Linked DNA regions of Arabidopsis thaliana. The protein of the gene in region 1 interacts with the protein of each later gene in a pairwise test. Each region holds a gene or a part of one and is shown in the gene's direction. Other genes may lie near its edges.

The links. The genes of interacting proteins can lie anywhere in the genome.
Region 2: the proteins of HEC2 (region 1) and PAR1 interact in a two-hybrid assay, tested with the Arabidopsis thaliana proteins (one large-scale study listed by BioGRID).

Annotation. Positions count from the first base shown.
Region 1 is NC_003074.8:18,653,893-18,662,760, reverse strand, and holds HEC2 (basic helix-loop-helix (bHLH) DNA-binding superfamily protein), read left to right. Parts: upstream 1-4,383; 5' UTR 4,384-4,642; coding exon 4,643-5,338; 3' UTR 5,339-5,806; downstream 5,807-8,868. Other genes in the region: AT3G50320 (uncharacterized protein), read left to right, coding at 8,078-8,243, 8,336-8,384, 8,572-8,625, 8,727-8,868.
Region 2 is NC_003071.7:17,835,161-17,842,093, reverse strand, and holds PAR1 (phy rapidly regulated 1), read left to right. Parts: upstream 1-4,475; 5' UTR 4,476-4,906; coding exon 4,907-5,263; 3' UTR 5,264-5,678; downstream 5,679-6,933. Other genes in the region: MPK20 (MAP kinase 20), read left to right, coding at 1-87, 235-446, 527-628, 859-1,001, 1,086-1,522; AT2G42865 (uncharacterized protein), read left to right, coding at 6,500-6,580, 6,656-6,823. UniProt on the Arabidopsis thaliana protein: Atypical bHLH transcription factor that acts as a negative regulator of a variety of shade avoidance syndrome (SAS) responses, including seedling elongation and photosynthetic pigment accumulation.

The DNA of each region.
Region 1 (8,868 bases):
ATTCAAAAACCAAAAGTCGTGCAAGTACTTTCTATATTGTTATACTTATACACATATACCATTGACTTCTACGCCGTAAAATTTACGTAGTAAAATGAAAAAACTTGGAATCTCTTTGTTTCCCCCCAAAAATAAATAAAAATTTCAGACCCTTTTATTACTGACAAATTTTTGTGTTACTAATTTTAATGAAATATGAAGATGAGTATTAGTCAGACTCCTCACCTCGACATCACCTTTCAAGGATTTATATACTGAGGTTTTCAGTTATTTGATGAACGCAAAACGATGTACAGGAATGCAATTTCGACTCGAAGAACCATTTGCTTATGAACTTCAAAGGTATAGAGGCCCGTGTTATGAATGGGTCATATAAGTTTTCAGGCCCATTTAGTGTATTAACACTTTAGCTGATTTGTTACGATGTTGCACGTCGGTTCATAGATATAATTTATATAAACTGAGTACATTTTTACATATGTCTCGTCTTGTGACTTGTGCGGTACATTTTATATATTTGTTTTCATGATTTCGTTCAATAATGAAAACAAATATATTATCTTACATTTTACATATGTCTTGTGAGGTGCACCGGAAAATATGTAAATTGAGTACATTTAATATAGCACAAGGGACATGGATGGGTGTTTAAAAACAAGAGTCAAAGAATGTACCAAATACCAAAATTCTACTAAAAAACAAGAAACAAACAAAGAAAAGAGAGGAGATCCAATTAAATGGATCTAAGATCTAATCTTCTTCATTCCAAAACATTTCCTTATTAGGAAATTTTATTTTTAAAATTATCCATTTTGTTTGTCTTAATTCTTCCATATGTTAAAATTTTAATTTCTCCCGATTGAGGCACTTTTTTTTTTTTATTTTTTTATTGAAGCACTTCCATATGTTACATTTTATATTCTAGGTTTTGATTCACTTTTGACTTTTGTTTGCCTCTCCAATCTCCATGCATTTTACATGAGCTTTCTTTCTTTCTTTTCTTCCTTATTTGGTAAAAATGTTTTTATACTTTATTTAGAAACAAATCTTTATCACAATCCTCTTTTTCTACTTAATTCGTCCATACATTAAAATTGTTATAATTGGTTTTCTCCCAATCCAAAGGCTCCTATCTTCTAGGTTTTGACTTTTGTTTGCCTCTCCATGCATATTATATACGCTTTCCTTATTTTTATTTTAATTTTTTTAGTTTGTTCTTGATTACAATTTAGTTTGGTACTCGTTTTGTATGAACTTCTGTATTGAATCTATTGATAAATCTGGTGAGTGTTTGTCTAGAAAGTTAAAGAAAGTGCCATTTCTGTAAGAAAATTGCTCCAGAAAGTGAAATATAATATACTACGATAGTAGCAATAATTAAAGAGGGGTGCATGAACTTTATCCTGTCACAGAGAACATGAGAATTTATCCGAATAAAAAGAGAGATTGGAAATACATAATTGAAAAAAAAGAGCAATAAAGAAAGCAAATGAATTCAGATTTATCTTTTTTTTTTTTTTCATATATGATATGAACAATATAATAACTAAAGAAACGAAAAAAGAAGATAAAAATGTGTCAGAAGAATACAGAGCACTTGTTCAAGAAATTATAAGAATGTTATCTATAAAGTATAAACCTAACATTAAGGATATTGTCATCAACTCATGATCGAGTAAAAAACAGGATATTAATCGAGTATAAATCGATATATATTTTTCATTTTTTCAATTATGAATATTTTAATTAAGGAGTAGTTTAAAAATTTGTCGGAAAACGTGATTAATCATTAGGGGATAGAAATTGTGGTGTTAATATGGAGCAAAGGGCATAGATGATGCTTGGGACATGAACACAGCTGTATCACTACCTTGCCTTGGGAGGCAACCTACCCCAATTTTTGTTTATTTAATTATTAAAATATAATTCCTTTTAGAATTTTTTGATATATGCTTCCAATATCCCAGTGTTTGTTATTTTAATACACTGCCCATCCTCAACCAAATACTACGATGACAACTTTTTTTTTTTTAATAAATACATCCGACGAAAAAAGTCAGTAGTCCAATCACTACTAAACTCTAGATTTTATGGAAGTCTATTTAATTTATAAGTTTGTTTGTGGTGAGTTTCATATAAAATTACATCATATATGATCTTTGCATTTTTTATTCGGTGAATTGATGAGAGTACTATCTGATCAAGATATGTTAAATACATAAAGATTTTTCAAACTTTTTTACAAAAAGATTCTTCCAACTAAACAAATCGTCATTGGCGTTTTAGAGTTGCATCGCAAATTTCAGTAAACAATCTTAGCTAATGTTTTCCATTCTGAGTTCTTATTCTTTATTAGTACATTTTTAAATTTGCTGTCGATTTTAACGGCATTTGTTCAATCAATAACGTAGTGAATGACATGGGCGACTTTGATTAAACAGTTCAATAATTAAAGAAAAAAAATCGAAAAAGGAAGTTCTCGAGAGACAAAAAAAAAAATTGTACGAACAAGACTTGGAATCTTGGTTAAGAAATTTAGATTCGGTGGGAAGGAGGAGTGTTTAATTCTTACAGTGACTTTGTGTAAGTAAAAAGGTGAAAAGGGGAAAATAGCATCTATTTTTGTTACTTACGAAGCTGATTGAAAAAGAGAGAGCAGCGAAACGTCATCGTTTCGTTAGCTTTCTTACATGTTTCAGTGTCAACATAAGAGGGTAAAACCAAGTCCAAAGCAACTTACTGTGTCTGTCTATTTTAGGCTAATTATAGGGTAGAAGACGAACTCATAATAATTTTAATTAACAAGTAAGCAATTACTTTTGTGACGTCAAAAGAGATGATTTCTATGAATGAAAAGAAAAAACCCGATGATTTTGCACAAATGAAGCCAAGCATTGATCTTGATTGAAGATTGTGAGGTTTTTGACGTTTGACGTATGCATTTTTAAGGAAAGAGTCATTTATTATTAATTTGGTTGTTGAAGTGCAATTCCTTTGTTAACTAATGTTATAAGAATTTCTTTCTTTTGTTCTTTATTTGTTTTTTGTCAATAAACAGTACTACTCTATGTTCACGTAAAGTTCTTAAAATAAAGAGAAAAATAATTTAATGAAGATCGCAATAAGTCCTTTCCGATCGGCTTTGATAAGCGTGCCATATACCAACGCTCGACGCCAAGTGAGGTTCGATTATATTGAGTCCATTATATATAAGATAATATTCTTCCATAATATACACTCCCTTAGTATATACATTGCAAAACAAATTCATATAAACTAAATACGTTAACATGATGGTTTGTATTTGTGAAACTCGAGAAATTCACTATATTACTCATTTAAACAAAAACAAAAAAATCATGCAAAAAAATAATAACGTAGTACGTTTTCTTCAAGCATGTTCAAAGAAGTTATAACATCAATCTTATTTACTACTTACTAACGAAGACAGTGCATCTCATTAATATTCTCATGCATAACATATTGGATCCATCCAGGTTAAAAGTTAAAATAAGAAAACTTGAATTCAAGGTAATATTGTTTCGCCGTCGCCTGAACAGATCCCGGCGAAACAGATGGGTTCCCTGGATTCTGACATATTTCATGTGGATGTGGGGTAATTAACAATTATAAACAAAAAAAAACAGTAGTATAAAATTTAGATACCAAAAAAAAAAAACTACACAACTACTCTCTCTTTCAGTCTTTCCCATTACACTCATTCGAACTTATATAAAAGATTTATTTTTATATTTTGAAAACAAATTAAAATTGTAGAAATAGGAAAATTCATGGTTGCTGCCTCAAATGGTGAGAGCGGTTCATGCACCTTCATTTGTCCAGAAGCGCCTTAGTTCACAACTCGTGGGTCCAAAATCCCACCGATTGTGACACGTGAACGGTTGATCCAGACAAAGGATAATATCCTTCATGAAATATGACTCAAAACGAATTTTCCATTCATCAGCTAATTTTAGTGACACCAAGTGACTAGTGATTCCAATCTCTTGCGAGTTGCAATGATTCCAGACAAAAGTATATATAAGTACACCAACTAATTTATGCAAAACTGGTATTGAAAGTTTAAAGTAAATAAATTTATATTTTTTGTCATAAAATAAATAGTATAATTTTATTTATAGTTAAAAAAAATACGTGCAACATAAATATAACTGTCCAATGCATATGGAAGGTTGAAACATCCATGTCAAAGCAATGAACAAATTTTCAACTGCTAGCTAGTGTACGTTAATGTATACATACATATATTTACTAAATACATATACGTGTGTGTTACAAAGTTTTAGGAGTGTGAAAAATAGAAGAAGGAAAACAATCCTAATTGTTATAAATTATATATGTAATAAAAAGGAGTAAAATAATAAGAATGGGTCACAAAGTGCTATATAAATCCATCACTTCCTTTTATATTGCTGAATCTCTGATTGGTAGTAACAGTTTACATTTCGCACATAACTCTCCCTCTGTCTTCCACCATCATCTCTTCTGTGATTCAGACACACAAAGCCCTAAATTTCAAGCTTTGTCAGTCCATCTTCTTCTTCCTCCATACCTTATCTCACCAGCTTCTCCATATCTCTCAAAGAAAAAACAAACCCTATAAATTCCACAAAAAAGGAGGATGGATAACTCCGACATTCTAATGAACATGATGATGCAGCAGATGGAGAAGCTTCCTGAACACTTCTCTAACTCAAACCCTAACCCTAATCCCCATAACATTATGATGCTTTCTGAATCCAACACCCACCCGTTCTTCTTCAACCCCACTCATTCTCATCTCCCATTTGACCAAACCATGCCTCACCACCAACCCGGTTTAAATTTCCGGTACGCCCCCTCCCCGTCATCATCTCTCCCGGAGAAGAGAGGAGGCTGCAGCGACAACGCCAACATGGCGGCGATGAGAGAGATGATCTTTCGAATAGCCGTGATGCAGCCTATACATATTGATCCGGAATCCGTAAAGCCACCAAAGAGAAAGAACGTGAGGATCTCTAAGGATCCACAGAGCGTGGCAGCTCGGCATCGAAGGGAGAGGATAAGCGAGCGGATTCGGATTCTTCAGCGGCTTGTTCCCGGTGGGACTAAGATGGATACGGCGTCGATGCTCGATGAGGCTATCCATTACGTTAAGTTTCTCAAGAAGCAAGTGCAGTCGCTGGAGGAACATGCGGTGGTTAACGGCGGAGGAATGACGGCGGTGGCCGGAGGAGCACTTGCGGGTACTGTTGGTGGAGGATATGGAGGAAAAGGGTGTGGCATTATGCGGTCTGATCATCACCAGATGCTTGGAAATGCACAGATTCTTAGATGATGATGATGTTGATTTTTAAATATATATCATATGTTTATTAATATGACGGGAAAAAATATTATCGAGGGAGTTGAATTTAGTATCATGAAACTATGAGAGCATTTTTTTTAAATGTTTTTATCTTTCCGGGTTTCGATAATGTTTGGGATGGTTAATTAACAATTTAAAAGTCAGACAACTTGGTTGTAAAGACTAAAGAATAAGCATAGTTTATCAATTTATCATTACTAAATGAAATAGTCTCTTGTCACTGATCAATGCAACATGTTTTAGCTTTCAGACATCTAGTTAAGGTTTTGTGAGTTGAATAATAGTATTGTTTTCTGTCTTGTTTCCAATGTAAGCGTCAAAAGTTTATAATTTATGGCATTTCGTACCTGTGGTACGTTCTTGATGCATAGGTGTATGATTTTGTGAGCCAACTTTATAGATAACAGGAAGTTTTGGAGACAAATCGATAACACGAACATCTGTGGTGTTGTTTAGCATTTTAACACTTATTGAAAAATAAAAATATATATCATACTTTTAGAGTGTAAGATTCTGCAAAATTTCAATGCATGTAATAATTAATATATAAATACAAAAGTCTAAGCCTCTTATTAAATTAAACGAAAACAGACTCTTATGAAATAAAACAAAAATTGTTTAGAAAATAAATTACCATATATATTGATTTTAATATTGGTGAGTTATATATGTAAAATTATATGTTTTCTATTGTTCTTCTTTTTAGTTAACAAACTAGAAAGGCAGATTGTATTACTACTACTATCTTGCTGTATAAATAACTTTTTCTCTTTTGAATGAGTGTATATCAATCTATCTCGTACTTAAATGTTTTTTTTTTGCTTTCTTTTTTTTGCTTCTTCATAAATTTCTCGGAACTTGAATCAACTACATTCATTACAGAAGATGGAGAAACCCAGCTGACATCCCAACTTTAAAAAATAATTTATATCACAAACCAAGGCTACATATTATTGTGTCACAAGGTAAAGCCCAAATAAAGATCCATTTCACAAAGATAAGCCCTTTACCGTACACAGATATGTTTGTTGTAACAGATAATGATACAAACTAGTATTAGACTTAGACTACATGTTTTGGTCGGAGCACGACGGCGGACATTGTTCTGGGAGCAAAAGGGGTACTTCAGAAAGATGAAGATGAACATGAATAAGGCAGTTTCGTAATTTCACATAAGGACTTCACCGTTAGATTAATCTCGAAAATTTCCATATCTCAGTGTTGTTGTTTTTTTGTGTGATACAGATTGGTAATTTCGAAGATATGCTTTATTTGTTCGTAAATTTGTAAAGGGATCAGTAGCTTTTTAAAATAAACGTCCCTTGGGCCTCTTAAAAATGGGTTGTAACTATTTATCTTATATAAAAACCCATTATGAGATGAAATTCCTGAATAGTCCACTCCAAAAACCCAATACAATTTTTACATTTTTAGCTATTCGTTTGATTGATAATTTCAGGAATGATGTAAATCTTCTTGTCGTGAATAGTATAGTGACGGCTTCCTTTTTATTTGGAACTTCCAAAAAAAAAAATGTAATATTTTTAGAATAGCCTTTGACTCAACTTTAACAAAGAAAAACATGTTTAAATTGATGTTCATGCACTTTGTTTCGGCAGCCCATTTTGGGTTTGGCTTACCTAATTCTGAATTTATCAGCTCGGTCAAGGAAGTGGGTGTGCATGCATTGTTTCCCAAAATATACTAATGAAATTGAATGTTATTCAATCAAAATAAGGTTCGAATTAATGTTTGTCTGATTTGGGGACGTCATGCATGCAGAGGATAATTAGCACTAGTATAATGACGTTTAAAGATTATAAGTCACAATTCGTATTCTAAGGAATATTCGAAAATGTTGAATTATGCTTATCTTTAGAGGGACAGGGACCCCAACCCCATGTATGCTTTCAAAAAATCGATTCCACTTATACGTCAAGTTGGATCAATTTTTTTAGCTCCCTTTTTTCTTTAGATGTCAAGCTTATGAGCATTTGATTTACCGTTTTGTCAGAACCAACGGCGGGTGCTGTCACCTATATACGTATCTAAATATTCAAATAAATTCTCTTTAAAGTTTAACGCAATGTTGTTGACGAAAAAAAAAAAAAACAGAAAACGCAATCATGTTGTAGTTGAATCTAATTCTAATATAACTTTAGGATTCTTTGGCATAACAAGAAGTATATGTTAATACTCTAAATCTCTAATCAATAAAAACATATTCCACTAATATGTATTTATAGACTTACACTATTTTTTTTTTGTGACCAATCTTTTATAAAACTATCCATCAAAAGATAACTTGATTACAAGAGCTGGAATAAACATCAGCCAAAAGAAAGAAATTGCAGAAATTACTGCCATTAGAGCATCTACATTGAACAAATAAGGAGAGTGTCTTCTTACACTTAAAATATAATATATTCCAAAAAATATTATTTTAATTTTTGGATGTCTTTAAAATAAAGACACAATATCTTAAATGTCTAAGAATAGACATTTTTGAGAGGATATGATATCTCCAATTTAAAGATCCTTCATATTTGAATATTAATATTTTGTAAATTTAATGTTTTAATATTATTAAAGATATCCTCTTTCTATTGTGCAATGAAGTTGCTCTTAAGGTCAAACAATAAACATAAGAACAAGAGAATAAAAGAACAATCCTAACACTCAAAACCATAAAAGATATCGAGTGAAACGATGTCATTGGAAACAAAGAACACTAAGCGTGATCTATTGTACGGGATTGACGCTCCAACTAGGACAACAATTCCAATCAAAGATTTGGCTAATGCTAAGCCAACTAAGACACAAGAGAAAGATCTCTCCGAAGAACATCCTCTCAACAAAATGGGAAGGGATAAAGGTGAACATCTTCTCAACAACTTGGGAAGGGATAACGATGAAGGAGGGCTCTCACTTCGAGTAGGAGGAATGTACATCTCCTTGTCTTGGTAGGATGGAAAAGGAGACTGAGGAAGCACGATGTCTTGATGCAGGAGATGAGGTGAAAGAAGCGACAAAGAGAAATTAGAAAAATTAGGGCAAACCAAATAAAAACTCACAGAGGCCTAATTGTCAATTGAGCCCATAAAGAAAATTAGGCTAGAACTGCCCCAACAGAAAAGGTTGTTGTTGGGCCAAGCCAAAACCAAGAACAACCTTTGCATCCTGTAACCCAGAATTTGACCTAGCTCATACACACGAGCAACTTCACGGCGGCTGGCGGAGGAGAGAGGAGCAGAGGAGTCCGAAAACGCTAACAGCAAACTCTGAAACATCGGAAATTCGGATGAAACGAGGATGGAGAGAGAAAAGGCGGGAGGATCTGGTAAATATTTGAGGATAGGGGCGGAAGAGATGTGAATAGATCTTCAGTGAAGAACCGGAACAAACTTCAAACCAACCACGACCAGAGAGACAGCAAGAGAAGAGTCATTGGAATCAGCTCTTCGGAACCACCCAAAGGCGAGACTTACGACATCAAACTC
Region 2 (6,933 bases), on another chromosome or scaffold:
AAATTCCCAAATGCAGATCCTTTGTCTCTGAAGTTGTTGGAGAGGCTTCTTGCTTTTGATCCAAAAGACCGGCCAACTGCTGAAGAGGTGCTTTTCAACTTCCATATTGACTAACTATCTCAAATCTTGAATTCTCGGCTTCCTGATTGTTTTCTCTCTCTAATAATAGAGTATCATGCATTTGGGGTTTCTATTGGAGTGAATCACTAAACTACTCTTGTATACTTGAATCAGGCACTTGCTGATCCATATTTTAAGGGATTGGCAAAAGTGGAAAGGGAGCCTTCATGTCAACCCATCACGAAGATGGAATTTGAGTTCGAGAGAAGAAAGGTCACTAAAGAGGATATAAGAGAGCTAATTTCTAGGGAGATACTTGAGTACCACCCTCAGCTGCTTAAAGATCATATGAACGGGGCTGATAAAGCCAGTTTTCTCTACCCAAGGTCGTAATTTTTGTTGATTACATTCTTGAGCTAGCATTGCATATCACACCCAGTCCCTGACATTGATGTATACTGTGCAGTGCTGTTGATCAATTTAGAAGACAATTTGCGCATCTTGAAGAAAACAGTGGTAAAACCGGCCCTGTGGCACCTCTAGAAAGGAAACATGCCTCTCTTCCCAGGTATATCCTCATTTTTTCTGTAAAGTCTGTTGTCACTTGATCTGGTTTCGGTGATCTCCTCTGTTTTTGACCCCCGTTATGCAACTGCTATACTAGTTGTATATTAATATACATTGACATGGCAAGGATAAAAAAGATGGAATCATAAGACCGTGACTATCTGTTTCTTGTGTTGAACACTAATTTCTATAAAAATATGTCCTTCTGACTCTGTGTTTGCATGCTTTCAGATCAACGGTCATACACTCAACCGCAGTAGCACGAGGAGGACAACCAAAACTTATGAATAACACAAACACATTGAACCCTGAAACTACTCAAAACATTCCTTTTAATCATGCAACAATACAAGCACAACAAAGAAACCTCTCAGGTACTTTTAATCACTCATCCTGAATCCAACAGCAATGTGTCCAAACTGACCTCTATAAACTGTAAAACATCTATCTACACGCAGCAGCCAAACCAAGCACATTCATGGGCCCGGTTGCACCTTTCGACAATGGCAGAATCAGCAGAGATGCATATGACCCGAGATCATTCATCCGGAGCACTAATCTCCCCTTTTCACAACAATCTGCTGCAACAGTCGCCATGGGAAAGCAGCAAGAGAGAAGAACAACTATGGAGCCTGAGAAGCAGGCAAGACAAATATCTCAGTATAATAGATATGCACCAGATGTAGCCATCAACATAGACAACAACCCGTTTATCATGGCTAGAACGGGAATGAACAAAGCCGAAAACATCAGTGACCGGATCATAATCGACACAAATCTGTTACAGGCAACTGCCGGAATAGGAGTCGCAGCGGCAGCTGCAGCAGCTGCTCCTGGTGGTTCTGCTCACCGGAAAGTTGGAGCTGTTCGGTACGGTATGTCAAAGATGTACTAGTTCTCCACCTAAGCTGGGCTTTCATCACACAGAACATTGTATGTTTCCATCTTCATGTCATAAAAGAAAATTGTCTATGACACAAAACCATATGAGCAAAAAATATTTTTTTTATTAATTGTGATCCATCATTTGTTTGTTTTTTCTATTCCGACAAATAAATAAATGGATGTTAGATTCTGGTATATATAACAAGAAAGGTTGAGAGTTTTTCACGTTTAAAAGAACCGCTGGCTACAGAAGATGGATCAGTGTGGATGCGCATGGTGATGATGATGATGGTTTCATGGCACATCCAAACGCATGTGGTGGTGGGAACCCATATCACAGGCACCACTTTGTTCTTCCAAATGTCAGTAGAAACAGAAAGGTGCATTGTCACTTGATCATATCTTTAAACCAACCAATTTGTGTATATATTTTTGTGTAAACAGTTGAGTTCGCTTACTTTCTTCCTAAACAAGTTATTTCTTCTACAAATTAATAAATGAGCACAATGAGAGATTGCTGTTCAATAAATAGTATCTCAAAATAGAAATATCAAAATAAAATTAGAAAAAATCATTTAAAGATTATTTATTCACTTCTATTTTAATTAAAATAAAAATAAAAAAATTTGGGATCTTTCTTCTTCTTTCTGATTATAAAGTTTTTAATAAAATAAGTTTTAAAGCAAAAGAGAGATATAGCAAGTGAAAATGCATGTACAATTGAAAAAAATGCAACTAAATGAGGCCAAGAGAGGAGACAAATAAGGTTAGAGGTGGACCCAAAAACCACTGTATGCATTGTCCCAGAGATCACCCATCATGGTAGGTCCACCTGTGTGGCCCATATCTCCAGCCTTTATAGAAAAAAAGAGAAGATAACTAATTAACTTCCCTTGATTTGGAGTTTTTTAGCTAAACATTACATATTTTCTTTCTTAATCTTCCCCTTTCTTAATTCTTAAAAAAACATATACTGTCTTGTCTTTAACCAAACTCTTCTCTTTTATTTTTGTGGCAACAAAAATAAATAGTGAAAGGGAATCATCTCAAACTCCTCCTAGATATAAATATTTAGGTTTTCGTCATTAAATAAAAGTTATTTTGGAAAAAATAGAAACAACGAACAAGATACAAAAGGACATAGAATTGATTATTCCAAGACGACGAATGTGAAAGCTGGCTAAAAGCTAAAATTAAATTTCGAGTGTGTTATTTTTGTAACATATTTAATGTAAGTGCAAATACATAAATAAATAGATACTAGAATTGGGGAGAGTGTCAGTTTGGTAGATGGTGAAATGCGAAAGGCACCCGATTTTTGTAAATCTCAATCCCGAGAAACCAAACCCTCCTTCGTCCCCTCTTTGGAAACATCATCTCTTTCTTTATTTCTCTCTTCCATCTTCTTCTTCTTCTAAAACAACATCTTAACAATTTTTAGTATTACTAAAAACCCTAGACGTAAAAGAAATGTGTTATTCTGTTCCTGATCTTTGTCTTAATTAAGACCATACATTATTTCTTTTAATTAGATGTCAATCATTATTCTTTACTAAATTTTTTTTCTTGAGTAGATTTAGGTTAATTTGCAATCTTGGATTAAAGACCTACAAAAATGCAATTGTTTTTTTTTAATGCAATTATTTTTTATTAAGTCTTTATCTAGTTTTTATATCATATAGTTGACAAAAGAAATGCACCGGAGGGCTCATTTATGGAACCAACATTAAGTAAGATTTACTATAACGGTTTTATGTATAAAAGATGTATATTATAAAGATCTCTAGCTAGAAACATGTAACACTATATTCGAATCCAATAACACTAAACTTCCTTGGCTTTCTTCTTGTTATATAGTGGCCATTTCTCTAACATTATAGATATATTGAGATTGTTGTTTTTACGTGGTAAGAAATATGGGATGTTAATTGGAGTTTCTTTTAATAAGAAAAAGGAGTTGACAAAAAAAAAATGAAGGACAGATTTAGGAGGTCACTGAGGTGGGGGGGACCCAAAAAAGGGTTGACACGTGGCCACCATGCCCGATAGATATCATGTGGATCTTAGTAGGATTAGGTCCTCAATTGTACGAACAAGTTCACTATCTCTTAGAGGATCTATTTGATCTCATCCATCTAATAATAATACTATATTACAGTCTGTACATAATGTATAGAGAGGAGGAAGCACATGGGAATGGGGCTTTGAAGATGGAGATATTCATGTGACCCGCACATGTCCTCTCCTCTCTCTTCCTTGTTCCCATGCAAGTAGTGTCTCACTGTATCCTTCTTCTTTTCCTTCCTTATCTCCACGCGCGTGGTCGTTTTCATTTCGTCCGTACTACGTAATTACGACAAAACTTACTCTTATACCATCAGGCATTAGTCCATTACCAGGCACCACCCGAATGGCCTATAAGCATAAGTGCATAACTATAGGGTTTGTCGTCGTCTACTTGAATTTTTCTTTTGGAAATTTAAGCTCACATAAAATAGTTTATACTCTTTATTCTTGTTGTAGAAAATAAGACTGGTAACTATGCAAAACAACGTATAGCAGCTATTACATTTATGGCTAAACCAGATCACAAACCATTTAGAGTTTAAATTAAAGTTCGAATAATATTTTAGCAAGTAATCCGGCTTGATAAATAAATGAGACACTTGCTAAAAGTAATCCGGCTTGTATTAACAACGCATATCCTAATACAATAATAAAGCATTGTTGTATAATTAGTTAATTACTATGTCAAACGTCTAGCTCTTAAACAAACAAATTTAACGTGCCAAATCTCATTTATCAAACAAACAAAAAAATCCAATCTAGATGCGAGGTTGATCCACTTAAGTGAGTGATGAGTCCACTAAAGTCTAAACCAGTCGACATGGCGCGTGAAAGCTCTTCTTCTAAAGATCCAAATCTGTGGAAGCAACCAAAGTAAGAGATAATTAAATAAATCTCCACAATCCGAAACACGAGGATAATAAAATTAAAAATAACGCACAACTGGACCCAGCTTTGATGGCAATACCGCTCATTTAACCATTTCCCAATTTCTAAATGTAGAATTTATTTTATATCGTTTCAATTTTTACATCGTTTTTTATAGACAAACCAAACCAAAATTCGTTCATAACCGAACCTTTCACTAATGTAAGCAAACAATGTAACATAAAGCATAGCAAACCAAATCAAACCGATAGAGTATTGTCTCTAAACTCGCAACAAACCAAAATAAAATCAGGTTGAACCGACCACATTTCAACATTTTTGTCTACTAAATCCATCATCACTCATATATATATATATAACACACACAGTTACACATATCCACATTCCTTACTTGTTCATTATTCTCTCAGACTCATCATTCATCTCTCTCTTTCTTTCAATGGAAGAAACTCTAGCCACTCCCGACGCCACGAGACGCTCTCTGTCACCGTCATGCTCAGCCACCGTGAAATCACGCGCCGCTGGTTTCGAGCGCAGAACCAAACGGAGATTGTCAGAGACTAACGCAAGCGTACGTGAAGACCGAGAAGAAGCAGAAGAAGAAGAAGATGAGGTCAAGGAAAAGATTGAGGCGTTGCAGAGGATTATCCCCGGAGGAGCGGCGCTTGGTGTGGACGCGCTCTTCGAAGAGACAGCTGGTTACATTCTGTCTCTACAATGTCAGATCAAAACCATTAAAGTCCTTACTTCGTTTCTTCAACGCATAGATCAAGAAGACATGAAGTTCGGAGGTTGAAGATTATCACACCAAGACTGCTCTTCTTTCTTCGATTCCTAAAAACAAAAAAAAACGTTTTTTTTTTTCAAATCTTTTATTTCCTTTTTTATAACATGGGATTTTAGCTTTGATATATGAGGAAAGAGACTCAACATTTTTTTCTTCGAATTTTTTTTTTCTTTAGTAGGAGTATAATCTTTAATTTTAATGTTCTGATTTATTTATTAAGCCGTTTCACGGTTATGAGAAGTGTTCATTAACGAAAATTAGCATTAATTAATGTAGTTATATAACTTATTTTAGTAGGACGCCATATAGTATAGATATTAAATTGGATCACGAGGTTTCACTTGCATATGAGATTTGACATTAATGATATTGAGAAAGTTAATGTTACGTGGCCCATTTTTAAATCTGGATGAGCTCATTTCACATGCTTTATTATAACAAAGATTTCCAAAGTCGGTCGATATTTATTTAAGCTTATGATGAACTTACTAGATTTGAGTTCCCGTGGTCCAACAATAGAGTTCATGTATATTCCTTGTACATACATATACAAGACAAATCTTTTTAGTCGTGTAAGTACTAGAGCTAGCATCTACACAGAAATTTAAACACATTTGCCGCTAGAAAAAAAACAATATCAGTTTTAGTATTCATTATAACGTAATTTCTGACCCACAACAATGCAGCTATATCGAACTCTATGGAACTATTTACTCCACACATAGCGGAAAGTCGGGGAAGATATAATTTTCTTACCAACCCTATCTACTCTCTATCCAAATTACATTACAAAGATGAATTTAAGGTTGAACATCGTATAGTACGAAGTTGTAATCAATAATGTTAACTTCAACATCCTTTACCAAACCAAAATTTAAAATAAAAACCATTGATAGATTATAACTAATCACATCCTGTATGGGCTAAAAGCCTAAAAGATTACGATTCCACATGTTTTTTGATTGCCTTAGTTATGTTATAATTGGGCTTAACATAACTGGGCCTGAACCCATTAAACACTAAGAGGTCCGTACAAAAAAGGATTCGCGGCAATATTGTCAAGTGTCAACTACCCTCGGAACGACTTCTTCACTAAAAGTTAAAACTTAAAACCCTAAATCATTTTTTTCTGGTGAATTGAAATAGAATTCTATTTCAAGGAATTGGAGAAGAAGAAGCAAGAATTGACACGGGATAATCTGGAATTGAAGGAGGAGGGTGAGATTACTGAGAGAGATTGAGGAGATGAGAAGTCTGGAAGTGGAGATGAAGCAGAGGTGTGGAGAGATGGAGATTGAGATGAAGCAAATAGAAGAAGAGAAGAAGGTTTTAGAATCTATATCGACGGGAGCTGTGGAGCTTGAGAGTGAGTATTCAGGATGATCTTATCACTGCGTTGAGCGGCGAGATGAGACGGTGACAGAGGTGGCTGAATTGAAGAAATGGTTAATGGAGAAAGGTGATAGCTTTGAGAGTTATGAGAAGGAAGTAGAGAGTTTGACGAAAGTGAGAAGTGATATTGAGAAGAGGTTTAGGGGAATTGCAAGTCTGAGAGGAAGCTTTGAGTGAATGGAGAAGAAATTGAAGAAGGTTGAAGAAGCTAAGAAAACGCTAGCTTTGTTGAACGAGAGGATCTTGGAGCCTACTAATGGAGTCAGAGCTACAAAGGATGTTGCTTG